Linked DNA regions of Oryzias latipes. The protein of the gene in region 1 binds, or shares a complex with, the protein of each later gene. Links are inferred from orthologs where the notes say so. Each region holds a gene or a part of one and is shown in the gene's direction. Other genes may lie near its edges.

The links. The genes of interacting proteins can lie anywhere in the genome.
Region 2: snrpd3 (region 1) and lsm7 share a complex: the UniProt entries of both Homo sapiens proteins name them as parts of the U4/U6-U5 tri-snRNP complex. The link is inferred for Oryzias latipes from reciprocal best matches to the Homo sapiens genes SNRPD3 and LSM7.
Region 3: snrpd3 (region 1) and snw1 share a complex: the UniProt entries of both Homo sapiens proteins name them as parts of the minor spliceosome. The link is inferred for Oryzias latipes from reciprocal best matches to the Homo sapiens genes SNRPD3 and SNW1.
Region 4: snrpd3 (region 1) and strap share a complex: the UniProt entries of both Homo sapiens proteins name them as parts of the SMN-Sm complex. The link is inferred for Oryzias latipes from reciprocal best matches to the Homo sapiens genes SNRPD3 and STRAP.
Region 5: snrpd3 (region 1) and armc7 share a complex: the UniProt entries of both Homo sapiens proteins name them as parts of the minor spliceosome. The link is inferred for Oryzias latipes from reciprocal best matches to the Homo sapiens genes SNRPD3 and ARMC7.
Region 6: snrpd3 (region 1) and prpf4 share a complex: the UniProt entries of both Homo sapiens proteins name them as parts of the U4/U6-U5 tri-snRNP complex. The link is inferred for Oryzias latipes from reciprocal best matches to the Homo sapiens genes SNRPD3 and PRPF4.

What each region holds. Positions count from the first base shown.
Region 1 is NC_019870.2:16,128,909-16,132,934, reverse strand, and holds the start of snrpd3 (small nuclear ribonucleoprotein Sm D3), read left to right. Parts: upstream 1-1,226; 5' UTR 1,227-1,356; intron 1,357-2,143; 5' UTR 2,144-2,164; coding exon 2,165-2,290; intron 2,291-3,742; coding exon 3,743-3,935; intron 3,936-4,026. UniProt on the Homo sapiens protein: Plays a role in pre-mRNA splicing as a core component of the spliceosomal U1, U2, U4 and U5 small nuclear ribonucleoproteins (snRNPs), the building blocks of the spliceosome.
Region 2 is NC_019862.2:8,272,683-8,276,696, reverse strand, and holds lsm7 (U6 snRNA-associated Sm-like protein LSm7), read left to right. Parts: upstream 1-1,214; 5' UTR 1,215-1,321; coding exon 1,322-1,327; intron 1,328-1,560; coding exon 1,561-1,651; intron 1,652-1,746; coding exon 1,747-1,818; intron 1,819-3,450; coding exon 3,451-3,593; 3' UTR 3,594-3,862; downstream 3,863-4,014. Other genes in the region: kelch-like protein 24, read right to left, coding at 15-924. UniProt on the Homo sapiens protein: Plays a role in pre-mRNA splicing as component of the U4/U6-U5 tri-snRNP complex that is involved in spliceosome assembly, and as component of the precatalytic spliceosome (spliceosome B complex).
Region 3 is NC_019882.2:3,678,808-3,682,922, reverse strand, and holds the start of snw1 (SNW domain-containing protein 1), read left to right. Parts: upstream 1-1,315; 5' UTR 1,316-1,428; coding exon 1,429-1,442; intron 1,443-1,864; coding exon 1,865-2,018; intron 2,019-2,092; coding exon 2,093-2,254; intron 2,255-3,270; coding exon 3,271-3,366; intron 3,367-3,512; coding exon 3,513-3,619; intron 3,620-4,115. UniProt on the Homo sapiens protein: Involved in pre-mRNA splicing as component of the spliceosome. As a component of the minor spliceosome, involved in the splicing of U12-type introns in pre-mRNAs.
Region 4 is NC_019881.2:4,536,177-4,540,189, forward strand, and holds the start of strap (serine-threonine kinase receptor-associated protein), read left to right. Parts: upstream 1-1,213; 5' UTR 1,214-1,491; coding exon 1,492-1,603; intron 1,604-2,027; coding exon 2,028-2,163; intron 2,164-2,885; coding exon 2,886-2,967; intron 2,968-3,690; coding exon 3,691-3,763; intron 3,764-3,840; coding exon 3,841-3,940; intron 3,941-4,013. UniProt on the Homo sapiens protein: The SMN complex catalyzes the assembly of small nuclear ribonucleoproteins (snRNPs), the building blocks of the spliceosome, and thereby plays an important role in the splicing of cellular pre-mRNAs.
Region 5 is NC_019877.2:19,373,166-19,377,193, forward strand, and holds armc7 (armadillo repeat-containing protein 7), read left to right. Parts: upstream 1-1,228; 5' UTR 1,229-1,475; coding exon 1,476-1,566; intron 1,567-2,314; coding exon 2,315-2,458; intron 2,459-2,541; coding exon 2,542-2,885; 3' UTR 2,886-3,532; downstream 3,533-4,028. UniProt on the Homo sapiens protein: As a component of the minor spliceosome, involved in the splicing of U12-type introns in pre-mRNAs.
Region 6 is NC_019870.2:4,234-8,194, forward strand, and holds the start of prpf4 (U4/U6 small nuclear ribonucleoprotein Prp4), read left to right. Parts: upstream 1-1,161; 5' UTR 1,162-1,254; intron 1,255-3,961. UniProt on the Homo sapiens protein: Plays a role in pre-mRNA splicing as component of the U4/U6-U5 tri-snRNP complex that is involved in spliceosome assembly, and as component of the precatalytic spliceosome (spliceosome B complex).

The sequences.
Region 1 (4,026 bases):
TAAGTAAATCCTTTTGCTTGCTTGATCAGCAATTGGATAATTGCCTGGCAACAAAAGCTGACAACCCAGATCAACATCTAAGTGACATGATTCAAAGGCATCAGTGTAAACAGGCCTGTTAGCATCCACCCAAAACAAGTGCTTGTTTGATCTCTGCAAATGTCACTGCTCATGGCTGGACTGGAACTACGTTCAGAGTCAGGTTAGCATGCATTAAACGCCTGAAACCCTCATGGACACGTAAAGTAGATACACATGACCACACGCTGCACAGGTACAGGTGTTTACAGAGTAGCCTGTCTGCTGACGCCAGTCAATGACCCTGTTGCAATGGAAATCAAATGATGGTTCATTTGGTGATGTCTTTTATTATCCCATTATGCTTTGTCTTTCCTCATTAGAAACCTCTTCCAGCGTGAGAAAGCCCCGCATTAAGCAATGTTTATGCGTCTCACTGAAGTGGTAAAAAAGACTAGTCCACATAAATAAACACGCAAGGGTATGTATATGATACGTAAAGTCTGTTCATTCAAAAACTATGTAGAGTAAATGTTTATAGCTCTCTGTGGTCGATGAAAAAAATCCATTTGAATTGATTGAGTCGTTTCATTTTCATAATCTCTTCTTGCTGGGATGTTTTGACAAGCATATGTGCCAGCTATACACGTGTTCGGGATTCAAATCTTTCACATAAAACAAATAAGGAAAAGAGAAAAAACATAGTGAGGAGGATTATGGAAAAAAAACATGCACCACTGCAAGGAATCAATAAAATATTTTTACAAATATCTATCCAGTGTTCCATTATAGTTGATTTTTTCCAATGAGTAATCATCAAATTAAATTCATGTTAATCTAATTCAGGACAAATAAACAAGTCATTTTTTATTGTGTACATTTTTAATCTGTTAACGTTTCATGATTTCTATTTTTGTTTGAAAGTCCAATGTCCTATAATGATTGGTATTCCTGGACCTCTCTGAGGCCTTTTGATGAAAATTAGTTTTTATTTACTATTACTACTACTTCCAATACTACTAAAAAAGAATAATAATAGTACAAAAAATAATAACACTTATTATTATTATTGTTGTTGTTGTTTCTCCTTAACCATCTTTCTGGTAACTGGCTGACTCAAGTGAGTCTACATTCTGTTTGACCTAACACACCTGGTTTAGGTAATCAGAATCAACTACATGTCCCATAATGCACGGCGAAAAGCGCCACAGGAAACAAACGCTTTGTTGGTGCATTGTGGGTAAGCGGAAAAAAGGCTCAAACGCCAAGCTCAACGACTAGCCCACGTTGCTGAGCCGCTAAAAAGAACAACAATTCAAGAATTCAAAGGGAGTTGAAGTAAGACTTTAAACCCTAGCTACTAAAGCTAGCAAGTATTATATTGTGGTTGGTATTTAGCTGTGAATGTGATTCAGAATTATCGCTTTTTGTCTACATTGCCTCCCATTTGCTAAGTTTCGAATATGTCCATCGCTCCATCCATGCCTGATATTTAGCTTGTGTCTAAAATAATTTGCACGTTTGAGTCCCAACAATGTTGGGTGTGAAGCATTAACGTTAAATATATTGTGGTGGTTTACTTCCCACAGTTTTTAATTAATGTTTTGTTTCGCTTGAGGCCAGTAGTTGGTGGCTAGTTAGCTAACGTGGCTAGCTAAGCTAGCCATTAGCGTTACTACGTTTTAAAAGTAATCCCGAACATTTACCTGATTAAACTGTGTAATCCAAAACTGAAGAGTTTTCTGCAGCACTTGATTTCTCTACGTAGAAATAATACCGTCTTGATAAACAGTACAAGAAATAAATCACTAACGAGGTAGCTTAGCTAATGATAATGGAAACATTGTTATACTTAAGTGCCTTTTTTGTACGTTTTTTTTTGTGGGTGTAAATTACCTTATTTACAGCACAAAACAAGTCTTAAGTATGTTCTAACAGTAAATATTACTTCCAAGCCAGACACATGCAAACATAATAATCATAAAATTGGATGAATGAATTGCATGTTGTAGACTTTCAGTAGCCTTCTGTAAACAAAGACAATACCGTACGTCAGGTTTTGTGATAATACTGTATGTTTCAGTGCCCTTTACCGTATGTTTTGTCTTTTTTTTTAATTTAATAGCCTAGAAAGACCGTTTCCAAAATGTCCATTGGCGTACCAATCAAGGTCCTGCATGAAGCAGAGGGACACATTGTGACCTGTGAAACCAACACTGGAGAGGTTTACAGGGGCAAACTGATCGAGGCTGAAGACAACATGAACTGCCAGGTTTGTATGGAGTAACGTCCCCCCCCCAAAAAAAAAAAGCATGCCGTAAATTTCTATTTAGAGTTCAACTCACTGTACCACACTTGAGAAGAACATTTTAAATGTGTAAAGAACACAAGAATGTTTTTTTAATGGACATTTTATTGTTGGCTGCCCCCCCCCCCTTTTATTTCACATACTTTTTGGAAACAAAAATGCCAAAGGTATTTTAATGCAGTTTATTGCACCAACTCTTATTTAGACTTGCACATTTGTTTTTTTTGCTTTCACAGGAATAAGTCTAGAATCTACCAATTATAACAAGCAGGTGATGTAGAACTATTTGAGTAGGTTTGTTGAGAATGTAGTATTTTAGTAAAACAATTGCGGTGAGACAAACTCATGTTATACTTTCTTTCTTTCTTTTTTTTTTTTAAAAAACAGTTGTTCAACATGTTTGTAGCGAAAGACAAATCGGTTACTCCTCTTCGAAGAAAAATCTCTCCCGGTTTCTTTGTCCCTCAAAATCTCAGCCAACCACACGTGTGTAACGTATGATTGATTGATGTAGTGACTTAATTACTCAATGAGATCAATGGTGCTTTTACAGTCAACAAAACATACTCCCTTTTACTAATATGCATCAGGTCAGTGACCTGTAGGGAAAAACAAAAACCATAAATGATTTATCATTACCGTTGGAAGTAAATAGAAACACAGCACTAAGAAACCAAACGGCCCTGTGTGGAAAAAGGAAATTATGTTGGATTATTTTAAAGTTTTGGGACAGGTTGCCTTTATGACCTTTGTTTTTTTGTTGTTTTTTTTGGGTCTCTAGTTTTGGTTGCACATCTGTAACAAACAAATCTGGAATAACAATTTTATTTTATTTTGTAAATTTAAGTTGTGTTCTTTCTATTAACTGACCCAATTCACCCCCCCCCCCTAAAAAAATCTGTATAGTTATCTGGTCATATATGCACATTTGTCCTTGAAATATTTAAAGCCATTTTTCTTAAAGTATTGAGTACTGTAACTAAATATATTTCCCAAACATCCTGTCAATGCTGATAGTCTTTTCAAGCTTCATTAGTGCAGTAAAAGTTTAATAGACTCCAAATCTGTTTATTTCATTTAAAAGCAGAAATTTTGGTGGATAAAGCTCAGTGTGTCTTAAAAGTACTCTAAAGATAAGTGTGAAGGCTTTAACAAAACGCTAAATATTCTAAAACGTATATTCTGTTAATAATTGTAGATTTCTTATTAATCAAATGACAAATCAAAAAGGTTGTTAGAAATTATTTTAAGGGATTAAATGAAGTATCTACAAATGTGTTTTCAAATAGAGAACTGCATTGCCAAGTTTAACAGATAACTTAAAATGTTAACCTGCATTCCATTGAACACTGTAAACGTGTATCAAGCCATTTTACGAATCTAAGACCGGAACCATTTATTTCTATGTCCCAACAGATGTCCAACATCACAGTAACCTATCGTGACGGGCGGGTTGCCCAGCTGGAACAAGTGTACATTCGTGGCAGCAAGATCCGCTTTCTGATCTTACCAGACATGTTAAAGAACGCTCCAATGTTAAAGAGTATGAAGAACAAGAACCAGGGTTCTGGAGCAGGAAGAGGCAAAGCGGCCATTCTGAAAGCACAAGGTGAGTGGTTCCTAACCAATGCTGATAAATGGTGTGTCCACTTTTCCTTATTCTTGGTACACCCTGCTTCCTGAATGCTGTTTTTTTTTTT
Region 2 (4,014 bases), on another chromosome or scaffold:
TAATTGGATATTACCTACTGCAGCTACTGAGTACTGAGTTAGATTCTTCTGCTGCAAAGGTGCACAGCACTGCCATCTACCGCTCAGAGGGTGGAACTGATACAGTGCCTGCTGTTCCTGATCATGAGGCCCTCCCAGGACATAGAGAGTCTCTGTAGCTTTGGTCCGCCTCAAAGACCTGCCTACTGACCAAGAGGCTGGGAAGTGATCATTCAGCTTGCTGATGAGCCTTGCTCGAGGGTCAGAACCTTTCATTCTGGTCAGAAGTTGGGTAATAAATGCTAAGGAGAGAGACTCTGGTCTCACCAGCTCTATTAGCTCTAAAAAATGTTCTTCTCGTTTAGGATCAAACGAAACCCAGCGCAGGGTGGCTTCAAGCGCCACATCGTCTTTGTGGAGAGCCAGATCATCACTGGCAAGTAGATCAGCAATACTTTCCTTGGAAAGGGACAGAAAATCCTCTTCAGCTGAGACCGCAGGGAAGTGTGTGAGCACAACCTGCCGGGCTGCAGAATAAAGCTGAGAGCAGCCCAGTTGCCATGCATAGGCCATCATTCCTAAACAATTCGTGAGGTGTAGCTCGCGCTCCAAGAACTTGCAACACAGCAGTCTGGCTTTTTCTAGTTGTAGATAGTTTGCAGTCTCAAGAATCCCAAGAACATTTTCATGGTCCAAAGTCAGACGGCGAGTCTTGCTGTACTCTATCAAAACTTTGAAAGACTGTCGACCCACACCTTTGATCTCAACAAGCTTTTTGCGGCTTTCCACACCACAGCCAAAGAACAGAGCTCTGAAGTATGGACTCTGAAGGGCCAGGTGCTCCCGACAGACGTAAAAGTTCTCCTCCTCTACCCGTAGGACAGCATCTGGAATAAAATCCGGCCCAGGGTCTTCCACATGAAAAGCATATCCATCTTCGTCCATTGTGTTATCTAACTCATGGAAAAGATTGATTGAAGCTCTGAAACTTCACTTCAGTCACTGTAAAGAGTAAAACAAGTCTACTGCTTTGTCCTGTTTCTGGATCACAACTACGGTAGGTTCCCAACACACCAGCTGGTGTGTACTTTGTTTATTAATAGACGCCCCTGCCCGGAGAATGCAGTTAAGAAAGAGGTCAACTTTGAAAAGTAAAAGTTTTTTTAAAAATTACTATTAAAATACAATTATTTAGTAAAACTAAAGCTAAGAACATTTTTTTATTTTATTTTTTGAGTGCAAATAACTTCAGATGACGTCAGATGCGAGTTTACGGCGATGTGATTGGTGCTATTAAATTGTATCTGGGGTCAAAGTTTAACTTCCGGGTCACACTTCAAACATGGCGGTGAGTGCGAAATAATTTCGTTTAATTTTCTCTCTTATTGTTCACCGAACATTTTCTATTTGGTGTTAGTCAGTAATAGAATACTTGAGGAAATGAGAATAACATTTCTGAAGTAACGGCCGTTTTATTTGTGAAATTGTTACTGCCTTAGTCAGTGATGCTAAGCTAATGCTAGGCTAAGGGTCTGCGCCTTAAACTGTGCATTAATCTTGGAAACTGACATTTCTTTACAGGATAAAGAAAAGAAAAAGAAGGAGAGCATCTTTGACTTGTCCAAATACATCGACAAGCCAATTCGTGTGAAGTTTCAAGGAGGACGGGAGGGTAGGTGGCTTGTCGAAAGATTGTAACTTGTGGTGACCAGAATATTCACAGTGATGTCAGAATATAATTATTTACTTTGTTTATTCCCTCTTTAGCCAGCGGAGTTCTAAAAGGGTTCGATCCTCTATTGAACCTGGTGTTGGACGGTACAATTGAGTACATGCGTGGTAAGTGAAAACTCACGTGTACCCACTTTTCTTAATGGAGAACTAATAATTAAGTAGTTAGGAGTTATTTAGTCCATGGTTTACTGATACTGTTATGTGGACTCAGGCTGTGAGGTTCAAACTTTCTAATTCTTTTTCATTTCCAAAAATACTGTAACTCTTCTTTCAGTTAGAATATCAGCTTCACTCTTCAAACTGTTTTTTTAAGTAAATCAATTGTATTGATCTCCATTTAAAAAATGTAATATTTACTCATCAAAGCCGCAAGATTTTCTTTTTTTTTTTTAAACGATTTTCTCGTGCCTTCTCAGACAGGAGAAGCCAATCTGTTCGCCTTTATAATATTTACAATTTTTTGTATTTAAAGTTCTATTTTTCTTCAATTTATGAAAGTGACTATTCCCACATAATTTTCTAAATACGTAGAGCCGGTGCAGAACTTCTTTCTTGGCCTCACAGACCTGGAGGAATGGTTAGGGTTGGGTAAAACCACTAATGACTCTGATAAATGCATCTTTGCTGAACTTAATACGTGAATTTCCATCTGTTCTTGTGCAGTTTTTACTCGTAAATAAGTGTGAAAAACATCAGCGTTAATTTAATTCATCAGTTCTACAAAAGTGTGTATTTCTTAAAAACTAAAGCTTTAATAAAAATTGAAAAAAGTTAAATTGGAAATTAAAATGAGACTGAACTTTTTCAATAAACATTGATTTATTGTGCTGTAGTCTAAGACAGGTATTTTAGGACTTAATGTTTTGTTTTTAATCAAACTTTGAACTGCGTTTTCTAATCACAATTCCCCATCTTGAAAAAATGTCCTGTTTGTCATCATGAATGCATCATGTCTGCATCATGTCTCTAAAGATTCATAAAGAAGGTTATTCATATTTTTCAGAAAAACCATCAACAAGATGGACTTTTGTTTTCCAAATACATAACATGACCTCATTATTTCTTACTATGATGAGCATTCATGATGAAGACACATTAAAGTCGAGAGAAAATTAACACTAGCCCACTCTCTAATGCCGGATTAACAATGATTAATAAAGTAAACACATTTTAAACGTATATATAATTTGGCTGCATTAAAATGTCACAAAGAGCAGTTGGAGCTACTTTGATCGCCATGGCGAAAAACTGTTTTTTGTAAGAATGTTTTTTCTTCTAATTCTCCTTTCTAAATATTGTAACTTTTCTTTCAGTAAGAATTTCACCTTCACTCTTCAAACTAAGTAAATTAATTGTATTGATCTCCAGTTAAAAACTATAATAATAATTCATCAAACTCGCGTTTAATAACGATTAAAAACTTGGCGTGTTTTTCCGTAAACCAAAGTTTTTATCTCCCATTTGCATAGGTTCTAATAGGTCATTATCATATTCTGAAGCATTTCCTTAACATTAAGAGTCCACTAGCTAGAAAAAAATGTTTTTGTGTTTGAACTAATAACTCTTTGCATTGTAATATTGTTTTCCTCTAGTATCGGATCAACTGTGGACTCTTGTTCTGTTAAGCATTTGTCACATTTACTGACGGCAATAAAAATCTCTTTAAATGTACAAAAACTGCAACATAAAGATGAACATCCTCTGGCATTTACAATCCCTTTGTGTGTCTGTGTGCAGATCCAGACGACCAGCTGAAGCTGACAGAAGACACCAGGCAGCTGGGGCTGGTGGTCTGCAGAGGAACCTCCGTCGTCCTGATCTGTCCTCAGGACGGCATGGAGGCCATACCCAACCCCTTCATACAGCAGCAAGACGGCTAAATCGCCCATGAAGTGTTAGACCTTTGTTTTGTTTCTATTTTTGTTGTTTTTGTTTTAACCAACCTAATGGAAGAAAGCTGGAGAATCAGCAGTAAAAATGACTTTTGAATGCACTTCCCTTTTGTTTGTGGTGTCCAGACGTTGGAACCTCTGTTCTAAAGAGCTCATGTGCTACGGAAGTGCAAACCTTTTCATTTTTATGCAGGAACAACGTGAGCTTTTTACTGTTTGTTTTTGATAAGAAAAATAAAAGGAAAACCTATGCTGGAGTTTGTTTTTATCTTTGGGTGCAGTCGCTCCTTGCAGTGATCTGAGCTGGATCACATCTTCCTTTTCACACCCTGAGTGAGCTTTTGTCAGTTTGAAGGGAGTTTTTGTGTTTGGAATGGGAAAGCTTAGGCACACAGGGAGAAATCTGCGG
Region 3 (4,115 bases), on another chromosome or scaffold:
GAGGAACAAACTTAATGAAATCAAGAGACAACATTCGCTGGTGGGAAATAAAAATAAGGCAAAGAATTTCATTGATTTTGAGGATTCGTGTCTCTGCACGACAGCAGTGCAAACTGCTAGATATCTTAGAAAAACCTTATTGACAGATCACAGGCTTTAATATACATTTAGGCTTTAAGATTGACAGAAAAAGGATTTAGACTCGCAACATCTGCATGAAAGCAGGATATGAAATCACTTATCCATGAGTGGACTTAATAAGGTGGCTACCTGTTTTCTATTAGATCCTAAGGGATTTCCTTCTGTTTCAGCAAAAGTTCTCTGGCAGTCTGAGTCTCTTCCTGAATATGAATGATACTTTTTATTAAATATGAAAACAATCCAAAGGAAATGGAGGAAGTTTCCATCCACCAAAAAAAAATCCTCTTTTGAAGTAACAAAATATGTATCTGAAGTATCCTTATGTAATTTATAAAAACATTTATGCATTTTTTTTATTCAAGCATATCATTCTTTTATTCTGTCATCCTTGTTTTTTTATAAAATTATTATTTTTCTATTGTTGTTTTTTGTGTAATTTAAATGTTGCTTTAACTTCTTAACTTTACCTTTGACTCCCGTGTTTCTTCATTGGGAACCTGGCCTGCTGAGTCCAGGGCAGGGATCTGCAACCTGAGGCTATGGAGCCACATGTCCATCCATTGTGGCTCTAAGGTTTAAAAAAAAAAAGGGAATGATTTGAAGAAATTATAAATGTGAAGTTTGGAACAAAATAATAATAAGAGTTGTAGTGTACTGTCTGAGTGTTTTTTGTTTTGTTTTTTTCAAATAAGCCTTAAAGCTCTTTTTCTGATCCTCTGCGCCACAACACTGTGTAGTTGCTGTTCAGAGACAAAGTTCTTATAGTTTATAAGTTATGATGCAGCCAGAAGATCTTATTTGGTACAGGGTGTAATTTATTTTTAAAGGAATTTGGATAAGCGGCCGTCAGAAGTAAAGCAAGTCCAAATTTGTATGCATAGAAAATATAAAGGCTGTGTTATTTCAATTATTTTAAATATTTAATAACTTTATTTTATAGATGAATAGATGATTGGCCAATACAACATATAGGGTTTTTTAATAATTAGAAAAAAATGTGGGAAGCACAAGTGTATGTATAAAGTTTCGTGTTTTTTTCATTGGGTGGGTGAAAGCCTGTTTTTTGTGTGCATTGGCTTTTATTATGTAATTAACTTAACAAGTTAACATAACAAATAAAATGTTGTAAAACGAGTATGTACTTTTATTTTATTTTGTTTTTATCGAACTGGACATGGTTTGATATGTATTAGAGCTTAGAATTGTCAAACCTGGCAACCTTCTTCTCTTTTTCGCTTACGGCCTGTTCTTGCGCATGCTCACTTCATAGTTCAGGAAGAAAGGAAAATGTCTCTGACGAGGTAAGTCTCTAAGTGAGGCCTTTTGGCGAATAAGGCACAAAATGCGATCGGAGTTTCTGTCTGTGTTTGTTATACATTTATTTGGTTTAATATTAAACGTTAAATATTTAGTTAAACTTTAAACGTTTCGCTCTTTTCTGTGTTTATGATGTTAGCTAATGCTAGCTAGTGCTAACTAGTGAGACGGGGTTAGCATTAGCTTGTACCCTCAAACGACCGTTTCTGAAGTTAGCTTGTTTGTTTAATCTATTACTTAAACACATGTATTTGATATCGTGTTAAATAAACCTCTTTACCTGCATTAACGTTTCAGGTTTGCAGTTTTTGTTCCTGCTACTTTGACGTCGTTTCACGCTGATCCGCGTTTACAGCGACTTGCTAAGTTGTCTTTAAACTGCATTATGTGGACCTGTTTTGCACAGCTATTTACCGGCACCGACCCAGCTGTCTCAGGACCAGCTGGAAGCAGAAGAGCGGATTCGGACCCAGAAATCCTATTCCACTGCGCTGGTTGCGTCCCGTAAAGAACCCCCTCCTTACGGACACAGAAAAGGCTGGGTTCCGCGTGCATTTGAGGTGCACTTCAATGGATTACACATTGGTTCACTGCCTAGTTTCGCATTTCTACAAAACATTCTGGGTGTTCCTAGGACTTCGGAGATGGCGGGGCTTTTCCAGAGATTCACGTGGCCCAGTTTCCTCTGGAGATGGGCAGGAAGAAGAAGACCTCTAACGCCCTGGCAGTTCAAGTGGACGCAGAAGGGAAAATCAAATATGATGCCATTGCCAGACAAGGACAGGCTAAGGATAAGGTACTTGAGCTTTTCCTCTTTCTGGCAGTCAGTGAGGAGCTTTAAAACCCTATTCTTGCTCTTAGTGTCCACAAATACATGAGAGGTTCTGACTTCTTGGTTCTATTCCTATCAGACACGGCTGTGTTTTATTTGTATTTTTTCACATAAAAAAGAACCAACAAGTCAGTTAATAATACAAGACACGATGAACTTTATCAAACTAACATGAGAGGTTCATTATATGACTTGACAGATTCTAAATTGACCTCTAAAAGTCCAGCTGAAGAACCGATGTTCTGGATGACAGAATCTCCACAGAAATGTGGGACCTAATCTTAACTTTGGTAATACAGCTTGGTTTGGTTGTCATTTAAAAAAAATGCACACTATAGTGTTTTGTTTTTTGTAAAAACCATGTTTGATCCTTACATTTCTATTGGTGTTCATACACGACACTCCAGACGCATGTGGGAGGAGCTACCGCCAAACGGTTTTAGCCTCATTGCTGCAGACAGGGATGATGTTGAGATATCACGTTTTTCTACTTTGAAGAGCTCTACAAAAATGTCGATAGGCACGTCTCCATGTCTTGATCAATGAGATCATCCAGAGACTCCCACATCTGCTCCTGAAAGGGAAACCCAGTTTGACGACTTTCTGTTCTGCATTCAGGACCTTTTTTTGTGTGTCTTGATCCACTTATAACATCTTCAACGCATCCCGGTCCGAAGAGGAGTCCCTGATTGGTTGACGCGGCGCATCTTGTTTGCCGAAGTTCATATTTTTGAACTCTTGACGCACCGCAACAGCCAAAAAAGCGCGCGGCTGCCAGACTGGTGTGCAGCTCCAAAATCAAATCTGATTGCTTCTTTACGTTAAGCTAACATTAAAACTGGACACTCCTAATGCGCAAATGGCATTTAGTGTAAACGCAGCTTTACACAATCTATCCTATTCTATGAGTCTGCATGTTTTGCCATATTGGTAAATTTTGAGTGAGATTATTTCTATAATTTTCTTCTTGATTTTTGTAGGTGATTTACAGCAAGTACACTGATCTGCTCCCAAAAGAAGTTCTTAATGAAGACGCTTCAGGCCTTCAGAAGCCGGATGAGGAGGCTGTAGAAGAGGTAATTTGCTGCTCGGGCTCGTGCAGACATTCAGGATTCATTCATCCGATTTGGTGAAATTGTCTTTCAGCGTGCCCTTACTTATTGTTTTTAATTACTGTAAGCATGTGTAGTTTCTCATGGTTGGGGATGGATGCTCTTTGCAGTTGACTGAGAAGACTCGGGCCGCTCTACAAAAGCAGGTGTCGCAAAAGATTGCTGCAGCCATGCCTGTCCGGGCCGCCGACAAACTCGCTCCTGCACAATATATCAGGTAGCAATTTACCTGAATCATAAACAGTACTTCTATTTTAGATCGAGGACTTCTTTGTTGTTCCATCAGATCCTCTTGGATTTTGCAATCACACCAGTTCACATGAATTCAACCAATTCTTGCGACGTTTTTGCCCAATTACTTTTGCCAGCTGCTCTTATTTTAAACACTTTCTCCACCAATCAAGCGTAGAGGCTGAAGCATAAACATCTCTTGTCTAATCGAACATGCTTACTTCTGGAACTATATCAAACAACAAAAGGAAGTATTGAACAGTCGGTCTATCACAACATTTTGCAAATATTGAAGCTGGAAGTTTCCTTCAACGTTGCGTTGAAGCACCAGCGAGTCGATGATTGACGAGAACCTTTCCACCTGACGTTTGCAGAAAACGACTGAAAGTTGTGTAGAGAGTATATGGAGATGTTGATTTACCCTTCATGGGGTTAAATAAAATCCCCTTCAATAAACAACTTTTCAAATATTTCTCCTCCTA
Region 4 (4,013 bases), on another chromosome or scaffold:
TGACTTGTGTAGTTACAAAAAGAATACACGGTATTCTAGGCCTACAAACTGTTATACCAACCCTCCACTACAATATTACAATATTACAGTGCATTAGTTCAGTGGTACAGTAATTTCTGGCAACATTTACTTATAATGCCAATAAAAGGCATTTTACCTGTTCTTTACCCTAAATCTTCGGATCATGGTGGACACAGTGAATCTACTGGCGTTTGGTTGTACCTGTTGTCCAGCCTCCCTCATGCTAATCCCATGGACAAGCACTTTGTCGATCCCAGTAGCTCTGATTTCATGAGATGTTACTGTTCTTTGTCTTTGCTGACCACCTCAACCACCATGAACTCTTCCTCTCAGATTTCTGTCCATTGTAGGGCCTCACAAACCAGTGCTCTCTGAACTGGCTTACTTTATATGTTCTCCCACAAGTGTGATCAGTTTTGAGTTGTTGTGTTCAAGTGGGGACACCTGTGCTTTCTTTGTGTTTGACTTTTGTCACCTGTGCACACCTTTATGCAGCACGGGTGTATCACAATGAAAATGTGTTGCCAAGTCGTGTCTAAACAGGTGAGAAGTACTTATGGTTCGGCCAAAGGAACGTTCGATGCAATCAGTGGGTTCAGGCAACTGGGCATTTGGTTCAGACAATAATAGGGTTTAGTGTTTTAGCAATTGAGAACAACTGTAAGCGAAACTTTTCCTGTAAACAATATCAATAAATTACAGTATAGGTACTGGTTTGCAGCAGTAAAACTATATTCATTAATGCAGATATATAAAATCCCTACATTATATAACAGACTCTTAAACGTTTGAGTCTCTGGGTGCTTAATAATTCCATATAATTATTTGACATTTAAAACAACTGAATTAGTTTTTTTTTATTATTATTATTATTTAGTTAGTTAGTTAGTTAGTTAGTTAGTTAGTTAGTTAGTTAGTTAGTTAGTTAGTTAGTTAGTTAGTTAGTTAGTTAGTTAGTTAGTTAGTTAGTTAGTTAGTTAGTTAGTTAGTTTAATGTACGTAATGTCCTGCTAATAAAAAAGAGCTTCCCTGTTAGAAAATTGAGTAATTCTTAGAAATGAACCATCTATTGTAACATTTTCTTTATAAAATTCAATAAAAAAAACAAAAAACAACGTTTTTCTCCGTTACTTTCATAAAAAAAAAACGAAAACACCTGACAGACGGATTTTATTGTGAAATTCCCCGGAAGTGTGTCGTGTCTCGCGGTTTTGTGTCGTCATCGTAACTGCAGTTACGCACGTTGCTAGTTAGTTGCAATGTTGTAGCTATTAGCGCGAGGCCGTTTCTTCTCTGGGGGGGCCAAACCCTGAAGGACACCGACCCCCGCTCCTCACACCCGCACCCGCTCGACTGCTCCCCGTTACCCGACAGCCGCTCCTCCGCTCCCGGTTCGTTAGCGGGCCCCGTTTGTTCGCCGCCTCCTTCCGCGAGCGCGACGGTTCCGGCGGCGGCTGAAGACCACCAACCATGGCCATGAGGCAGACCCCCCTCACCTGTTCGGGTCACACCCGACCCGTGGTGGACCTGGCTTTCAGCGGAATCACGCCTTTCGGATACTTCCTCATCAGCGCCTGCAAGGGTGAGCTCCAGCAGGCCGTTAGCCGGCGCGGGGTTCCGGTGGCTCGGCCGTTAGCGAGCCCCTCTGTCTGTGCAGGCAGAACCCGATCTGGTCGTGTGTCGGTTCTGACTTAAAACGATCCTAGAAAACTCGTAGAACAGACCTGGCGGATCCGGTTCTGATGAATGGTCTGATTTCTGAGCAGAACTCTGTCTGTAGGGAAGTTGTGGGTCTTACTGGTAACTGTAATCCATGAAAGTAACGAGAGTATCAAGTAAGGCTCCTCAGGGATTCCTCATCAAACTCTAGGAAAAGCTAGTAATTAATGATTATGTAACAAAACTCAGGACTTGGTTCAAGCCCAACAGTTACTTTGGCAAAAAAAAAGTAACTGAGTAAATGTAACTACCCGCCTCTGGTTCTGATCCAATCCCTTCTGTTAAAGATGGCAAGCCCATGTTGCGCCAAGGAGACACAGGAGACTGGATCGGAACGTTTCTTGGTCACAAAGGTGCTGTTTGGGGGGCCACTCTGAACATGGACGCCACCAAAGCCGCCACCGCCGCCGCCGACTTCACAGCGTGAGTAGATTTGGGAAACTGCCTGTTTTCCCAAGGAAAAACACGCTTCTTTCCTACTGGGAAAGCAGCCTTTTCCTCCAGGAAAGTTGTTTTAATAGTAGGAAACAAACTACTTTCCTCCAGGAAATGCACTGTTCTACCTGCTGGAAATGAAGAATTTCCCCCAGAAAATGAGCCTTTTTTTCCAGGAAACTTTTTATTTCACTGGCTTCTTACCTAGGAAAAAAGCTTTTGTTTTCCCCCCCTCCCCTGGAATCAGGGTTTTATCTAGGAAAGAAGCGGTTTCTTTTTCTCCAAGATAACTAGTTTCTGTGGATTTTTTTTTAAGAAGTTGGCTTATTTTTTTTCTGGGAGTCTAAACGTCTTTCCAGTAGAAAAGAAACTCCTGACAGTAGAGTTGCTTTTTATTTTCAGGCACCCTGACTTTGTTCTACCCTGAAAACTAGCTTGATTTTCCAGTGTGCCTTGGAGGCACGTTAGCCCTGGAAGTTGGGTCATCTAGACCCACTAGACAGTGCTCTGAACCTTTTTTCTTCAATGATTTGTGATCTTCACTGGTGTCCATGGATTACATGAAATCTTTCCACCTTTGTCATCGTAGGGAGAACACGTCGATGTAAGGGTGGGGTCATGTTGCTGCTTTGTAATCCGTTGCCCCCCAACACTGACCGTCCCTCTATGTTCCCCTGTCACACGCTTCTGACCGTGTCTGTTTTCTGCAGGAAGGTGTGGGACTCGGTCAGCGGAGACGAGGTCCTGTCTCTGGCGCACAAACACATCGTCAAGTCTGTGAACTTCACTCAGGTCAGTGTGGCGCCAGGCGTCTCTGCTTTCTTTGTCCGTGTCTGCGTATGCGGGTTTTGGTAGAACCGATGTGGGTTAAAGACCCCGTCCTGTTAAAATGGTGGTAATTTTTCTCACGACGGAGAACATATAGACAGAAAATTAAGCTCAAAATAACATTTCTGATGTTTAATTTTTCAAATCAGGAGCAGACACAAAAATGTCATATATGTGACGTAGGAAATAGGCTGGGGAGTCTAAAGCTTCCTGCTCTGCTCCATTCTGATCATCCACCTGCAGACAAATAGATCCATGAACGTCTTTGTGTTCCTGGTCTGAGCTGGAATCTGGATCAGGACTGGACGGCTTACTCCACACCACAACCAAGAGGCTCATTTCTGATGAAGTCCTGCCGCCCTGCAGAAACTATGTCCTGGAAAATGACCAAAAACCGCATCATCATCATCATTAGAACACTTTGAAAATAAATCACAAGATGATTGGAGTGGCACCAAACTGTAATAGTGGGCCAAACGTAACAACTTTAGCTCATCAAACATCACAGCAAACTGAACCGTAAAGAGGAAGTGCTTAACGCTGGGACACCATCTATACAATGATTGTAGTCACAAAGTGCTCCGTGTTCCTGCTGCTTTGATTTTACAAACATGAGACAGATAAAGCTCCTGGTGAACATTCATCAAGCCAGATGGAGGACAGTAAATCTGTGCTTGTGTCTGTTAGGACAGCAACCACCTTCTGACGGCGGGAAACGACAAGCTGCTGCGCATTTTCGACCTCAGCAACACCGACGCAGGTGAGATGCAGTTTGAAGGTACTTCTGCTAAACACGGCATCATGTGACCCCCCCTCCCCCCTCCCTGTGTTCATCAGCCCCACAGGAGATCGCAGGTCACGGCGCAGCCATCAAGAAGGCTCTGTGGTGCAACGACGACAAGCAAATCCTCTCTGCAGCCGACGACAAAACCATCCGGTCAGTTCTTCTCTGAACGTGGGTCCTGCCGGCGCTGCCGGCGCCCTGGACGGTCCCTCCCGGATGCTAGGAG
Region 5 (4,028 bases), on another chromosome or scaffold:
TACACCAACTAAACCAGAGCAGATTTCACACAAAAAAATTTAAAAAAAATTTAAAAAATGTAATCTGATAAAAGCAGCTGCACTAAGTGTCAAAAACGTGACACCAATGTAGAAAAGAGAAATTTGTGAAGTGAAAAAGCCCCCCACTTCCAATAACACAATATGTTTTACAAAAAAGATTCTTATTTTAAAGATATATTTTACAAAGACATTTATTTAGATTTCTTTAATTTATTTTAAATAGTAATTGCACTCCAGGTTGTAGAAGATACTGGTCAAAAACTGAAATTATGCTAAATAATCTACTAATTAAAAACATTAGTGTCTCATTACAAATGATTACTAATTATAAATTAAAAATGCTGTTACCTGCAGTCTTACACTTATATAATTAAATGTTAGTATTTTTTGTGGTGCAAAGAAAGAGTATGTGTCTGTGATGCCTTGCTTTGGAAATAAAAAGGGCTACAAAATAAAAATAGTTGTATTTTTCCTATTACTAAAGATATTTAAAGACAAAATTTCCTGTTAATGAAATTATGGTTTGGCTCCAATGTTAATTTGTACTTAAGGACAGTACAGACATGTTTTCAGTGTTTTTCTTAAACTTGATTACAATCAAACGTCAGCGTCATTACGCAAGGACAACAATCTCCAACGTTAAACACATAAAAAAATATTCTGAATATATAGACTAAAGTCTATATTTGCGTTATAACTTTCCTATTGTTTTATACAAAATAAGAAAATAGATCACCTGTTTATGTAAACAGTGGCAAGTCCAACAATGATGCTCCCGAACAGAATAGGTTTCGTGAGCCTTTTAGCTGCAGAGAGCTTGTGAGGCTTCATTGCTGCAGAACTTTAAATCAGAAGGTTCACGGCATAGAATCCAAACAGCAACAGAAACGTGAGTTTGTTTTCAGCTGACCTTCCTGCGCGTGAGTTAGTTAGCTGAAGGGACGTTGGAGCGCCTCAACTTCCGGTCCAGCACTGACGTCTATGTCGACAAAGAAGTACCGACTTCCGTTTGAGAATTGAATTTCGTAAAGTAATTTGCTTTTATCGTCTATGACAAAAAGTAATCATTTAATTAAATTAAATCAAAGTGATTTATTACCGAAACATTATAGGCCTAATTATTAAAAATCACAACGTTTTAAGTGATAAAATAAATTGACAGCTCTTTTTTATGTAAGAACAGCTTAATTCTACTTTTGGGTTTCATTTTTAATTGTTATTCTGTTGCGTTAACAGTTCATCCAGTCTTCAGAAGAAGAAAAAAAAAGAGTCACGAAACAATATCCCGGAACCACTGTCCAAATTCTAATTTAAGCCGGACGTATTTGAAAGACGGACAAAATGAACGAACTACTGAAACCAAATGCATAAATGAGGATACTATTTCAAATGTATTTTATTTTTTTGTTTTAATCGCGCGTTTGTCTTCTTAAAAACACAATATAAGATACTGAATGATGAAACGGAACTTTTCACCCGAAACCTCTGACCGGTTTGAATATTTACAGGCTCTTGTCACAGAGTTTCAGGATAGTGACAGTGAAGGTAAAAACACAAATAGCTCGCAGATTCATTTAGAAAAACTAAGAATTATTGCTAGTTTACAACAAATTCTTTGAAATTAAATTGTTAATGCATAAACATTGTAATGAAAGCATGTCTTACTTATATCAATCCATGATAGTCACTTTATATATATATATATATATATATATATATATATATATATATATATATATATATATATATATATATATATATATATATATATAATTATTTTTTTATTTTTATTTATTTTATTATATATATATATATATAAACTACAAAAATTTAATTTTTAAAATCTGAATGCTTAGAAACAGGACAGATTATTCAGGAAAAAAACAATGCATTTATCTTTTAAGATTTTTTTTTTTAAATAATTATGCTTTAGTAATTCTGACGATCATGTTTGAATACTAAATTAAAAATGCATAATGACGTTTTTTAAAAATCAATAAAACCAAAATTTAACAAATGCCATTTAATGATTTATGCTGATAGACTTTTGCAGCCTTTTATATGCAATATATAAAGGATCAAACTACATATTATTGTCCGTCAATAATTTTTTAGGAATGCAGGTCTTTAGTCTTATTTTTAATGTTGAGGTGTAAAAAAGCGCCCTCTGGTGGATTAAATTTATCTTGCTTTTGGTCCTTGTTCCCGTTTCAGTCATTAATGTCCAGTATATGTAATTTAATTGAATTTGAATCTGATTCTGTGTTTTTTATTTATGTTCTGTTGTCGTTAGAGGCAAAGGAGCAGGTTTTGGCAAACCTCGCCAACTTTGCTTACGACCCAAAGAACACAGAGTATCTGCGACAGCTGCAAGTGACCGACCTGTTTCTGGATATGTTGACTGAGAAGAACGAGAACTTTATTGAGTTTGGAATGGGTGAATCTTTTTAGATTATCATTTGGGTTTTTTTGTACCATAAATGCAGTGAAAAACATTTTTTTTGGTCTAAATTTTCTCAGGTGGGCTCTGTAACCTCAGTATGGACCCAGACTGCAGGGACCTCATCCTGGACAGTGACGGCATCAGCTTAATCACAAACTGTCTGTCAAACCAGAGGGAGGAGACAGTGCTATCAGCAATTACTACCCTTATGAACCTTGTGACTCCAGCTTCACAATCTCAGCTCACAGAGCCAGGCATCTTGCAGTGCATGCTGCGTTTCTCTCTTGCTGAGAGTCCCCGGCTGCACAACCTAGCTGCTGTGTTCCTGCAGGACTGCTGCACCAAGGATCAGGTCAGGCAGGCCGAGCAGCAGATGCAGGGACAGCAGATGGCTGTTGGGATCCCACTACCCAAAGACTAAAGACTTTGCTTCACAGTCAAGTGGAAACAAACAGTGACCGTTTTGGTTTTATGATTGTTTAATTTCTGGTGTTTTCAGCAGATGTTGAACCGATCTGGAGGATTTCCTTTGAACAAAATCCACCCTAAAGTTGGTTATGAAGAGAGGAAAATTAAGCTGCTTGTCCAGGTCTTGCACCTCCTCTCATTTGCAGCTGGAGTTTGCACAGGACTCATGTCTTCACTGGATCAGAATCTGAATATTAAGATGGTTTTTGTATGTTTTTAAGCACAAGTACATTTATAAAAGTAATTTGAAATTTGCTCAAAACAGGCTTCCAGCAAAATGAGTATATTTGTTCTCATGGAAAAATGGTAAAGATGTGTTTTACTAGACAGAAAATAATTCCTTTCAAATGTTGGACACCAACTGAAAAGGTCAGATACTCATCAAAGGAAAAATGAGGGAAAGTTTGTCTGTAGTCGTATTAGATTTAAAAAAAAAAGACATATAGAAACCCAAGTTATCCTGCTTTCATGGGAGGAATACGTTTCTACCAACTGTCACTAATCAGCAGAAATACCAAACCTCATGGAAGCCTAAGTTTGTGGCTTTCTTAGTCTGGATAATTCAGGTGTCTTTTATTGAAATAAAAAAAATCTACAGAAGTTCTGCCTTCGTGTGAGTGTTTGGCTCTCCTCCCTTTAGTCCTGACTTGGGCGGCATGATATGAGGAAAATTTGCAACATTGGTGATCAATATTGCGATGACAATATACTTGCTACATATCAACAAATAGCAAAAACAGCTGCATTTTAATTTTACAACAACAAGGGTTAACCCTTGTGCTATCCTAGACATTTTAACGTTGGGAGTTGGGTCATCTAGACCCACTAGACAGTGCGCTAAACCTTTTTTCTTCAATGATTTGTGATCTTCACTGGTGTCAATGGATTACATGACATCTTTCCACCTTTATCCACATTTGTCATGGTAGGGAGAACACGTCGATGTAAGGGTGGGGTCATCTAAGATATCACAAGGGTTTCGTAAAATGTAAATAGTTTCAATTATTTACACTCCAAATGACCCTCGTCTACCTATGAGGCGAGCATCTAACATAAAAGGGCTCCATCCGATTGGTCAAATGCACAAAGGGATTTA
Region 6 (3,961 bases), about 16 Mb from region 1:
TACTTTGTCTGTTCTTTTCTCCAAGCAGAAACTCTCTTTTGCTGATGATGCAGCCGTGTTACTTTATTGATGGACGTATAATCTTCATACGCCGTCATTTAAATGTCCGAATCCGTCTTACTGAAGTACAGCTCTCTCTCTTTTTTTCTCCACACGTTTCCATGGTGACTCCAGAAATCGGCGATCCATTGAGAATGTTTTTATGTACCTGCTGTGCACGTGCATTAACCCAGGGTTACCAAGTGGAGCGTAATTATGCTAACTCATATCCGGTCTGTTGGAACCGACATACCCAGAGTAAGCAAGTTCAGGTGGATTTCAGCCAGAGTTCAGGGTTAAAGTCAGGGGAGTTTAAACATGACTTCTGGAATACCCCCCTGGTCTCTGTGGGGGTTTACTCAGGAACCTCTGGTTGGATCAGATCTTCAGACTCCCACAAAGAGGGGGTCAGAAGTCTACAGTGTTTGACCTCAAAGTCACAAGCTACTCCAAAATATCATTTTAAAGAACAAGCTCTGTTTCTTTTACATAAATTATGGGACACTAGAACTTAAGCTCATCTCTGGTTCTGTGGGTTTGGGCTATTCTGGAATTGAAGACGCCCTGTGACTACACCCAGCAATAAGAACCATACCATTTCTCCACTGAACCTCAGGTCTGAATCCAGCAGCCAAAACAGCGCCCCCTAGGGAGCAAAGTGGACGTACTTTGCTGATTATCTGACACACCTAACCACGAAACGTGAAAGGTTCTAGTTTGATGCTCCACTGGTTCCAGTTCAGTCAAAGGGTCTTAAAAGAATGAGGATGCTCTGGGTCACACGGATCAGTTTGTGTAAGGTTTTGGTTGACAACCACCTGTTTCTGTCATGACAGCCAGCTGTACAGAATCTCTGATTCGGAGGAAAGCCACGAGCTCTGCTCCGTCTGCAAGGAACCCAAGACCTGGAGATGAGCTCCGGACGTTTGACCTCCTTTCTGGACATCCATTCAGCAAATAAACAAACACCACGTGATCTGCAGTTTTACTTCTGGTTAGCAACAAATTAGGTTCGTCACGCGCTTTTACCAGTGAGCTTACCTTGAACGAGTGGGTAAAACGCGCGCTCGCGGAGCTCCACGACCTGTTGTTGAGACACAAGACGCGCGTATCCAGGTTTTTCCGGTGAACCGGAAGTAGTAGGTTGACCCGGAAGCGGTTACAGCACATATATCCGGATCATTTAGCGCGTGGAGGCAGCTTTGTCGGATTAAGGTGAGTTTACGAAAAAAGTAACGAAGCTGTAGCAGCAAAAACAGTTAAGGACTAGCACGCGCTCACAGCATCTAATTTATTCCTCCGCCGCACGCGCTTTCAATCAGCCACAGATTCCCCCGCGTGGATCGGAACCGGTTCCACTGCAGAAATTGGTTGGAGGTTCTAACTGTTGTGCAGCTTCGCCTGCAAAAAGGGTGATGGAGGGAAGAAATGTTCAGTGTTTAGTAGATGACGTCATTAGTACAGACTGAATGTCCGTTTGCCTCAAGAAACGCAAAACAAAGAAAAGACGTAAGAATAGGCTGGCATTTACGATAGGACAGGTATAAAACATCAAATTACCAAGGATAGAAGATTAAAACTACTGTCGACTAAAATGCTTCATCGTTTAAAAAGGCGACCGTACCAAAATCTCCAAATAGGGGAGGAGCATCTGAAAGAAACAGAGAAGTTCAGCCGGCTAACAAGGAATATTGTGTTTTTGTTTTTCATTTAACTTTATTTGTTTTTAATTAACTTTATTCATTTCGTAGACAAATGCAAACAAAGGGAGTCAAACGTACACATGTTAACATAAAATGATGGATTCCTAGAGAAGAAAATAATAGAATAACTGAATATGATAGAGCTTATTGATGCTAACAGATGTGAAGAATTTATGTCATGTTTACATTTTATTTCTAAGTATCACTTCGGGTTTGCTGTTGGGGACTTAGCTGAATATAGAATTTAGCAAAAAATTAATATTTTTATTAAAATATGAATCCTTTTTGTCCTGATTAAAATGATAGAAATCGAAAATAACATTCTCATAAGGGTGAAAATCAGTGCAGATCAAGTCAGTGATCGTCTTTTAGAGAAGGAGGCCAGGCGTCAATCGAGAGGGTCGGAGGGTCCTGTCCCGGGTAATTATGAAAAGCAGACCCGTTATGTACATTTTCAAGGCATCGTTTCAGATGATTTGAAACCACCAGGGGGGTATTCCAGAAAGCAGGTTATGCTAGCTCCCACGGTAAGTTTGAGGCTAAGGAAGTGGATAACCTCAGCTTTCTGTTCCAGAAATGGAGGTATGTTTCAGGGTAGGTCAAGTTGCCATAGCAACTCATGCTCTGAACATAACCTGGTCAGGAGCAGGTTTAGTTGAAGGTTAGTTTGTTTTTCAGAGATGTGAAGCAGCATGGCGTGTCCATTTGAAGATGATTTAGTGGATGAAGAAGCTCAGATAATACTTTTTCCACCATGAGAGGATGATAAGACCACATATGGATGTTGGAAAGAGAAACTTTATACTTTCATCTAACTTAATTATTTGCTTAAGTTAAGATGAATCTTTTTTGGAGTTCAGTCAGCTTAAAAATAACACGTAGTTATCAGACATTTATTTTACTTTCATTCAAATTGATTCAATGAAGTAGGTGTAACTTTGGTGCTGCTGTTAGATCTGCACCGCAAGGAATTGTGGGATACCATTCCCTTTGCCTGTCTGGACGGATTTGGGTTTAAGTGTGGGTTTTTGACCAAATGTGTTTAGTTTAGCTGTTTTACTGTGTTTTGTCTAGTTATTTTGTCCTGTTATGTTTAATTCTTTCTGCACCATGAGTGAGAGGGAGGAAGAGGCGGATGAGTTTATTTAGCACCACTAGTGCGCGTTTCCATGGTGACTCCAGAAATCGGCGGTCCATTGAGAATGTCTTTATGTACATGCCGTGCACGTGCATTTACCCAGGGTTACCAAGTGGAACGTAATTACGCTAACTCGTATCCGGACTTTTGGAACCGACATACCCAGAGTAAGCAAGTTCAGGTGGATTTCAGCCAGAGTTCAGGGTTAAAGTCAGGGGAGTTTAAACATGACTTCTGGAATACCCCCCAGGTGCAGAGATTGGGTTCACTTCTACTCTGTTGACGGCTACATTTTCTTCTGACCTGCGGGTTTACGACACAATTTCCAAACTCATCTCCAGAGTAAATATAAACATGTGAGCGGTGGAGGCGATGCGGCTCAATGGCTGCGGGCCGTTATCGTGTTGTGGGGATGGCTTTATAATAATAATTGTTATGAACATTCATCGTCTCCGCCTTGTTCTCACTGTCCACTTCTGTCTTGATTCACACTTGAGTTGCTCCTTTTTGGTCTCCTGAACAAAATCCGTAATAAACTGCATCTGGTCCAGAATTCCACTGCCCATATTGTCTCCAGAACTCCAACCTTTGATCACCCCCCCCCCCCCCCCTTCCTCCAGCAATTGCACTGGCGTCCAATTCAATTCAGACTCCTCCTCTTCCTCACCTTCAAATCCCTCCATAACCTGGCCCCTGTTTACCTCTGAGCTCCTCCAAGTTGACGCCTCCTCTCGTTTTCTCCGGTCCTCTTTTTTTCTCCAGCTTTCTCACATTGTTTTTTTATCCTATTTTTCTAAATGTATTTTTATTCTTGTTTTTACTGCTATGTACAGTGACCTTGTGTGTCAAGAAAGGCGTGTGTCATCAAATTATTATATGCAATTCTTAAGATGGAAAAATTGATATTAAAATATAAAAGGAAAAATTCTACTAAATTTGGTCAAAATTCATCAAATCCATTCAGAGCAGGCTTCTAATGAATTCCACTGTCTATTTGATGTCTGCATTTAATGTCTCCACCTTATACTTAAATTTAAGTGAAATGAAATTAAACCATTGGGTGTTTTTGCTGATATTTGTT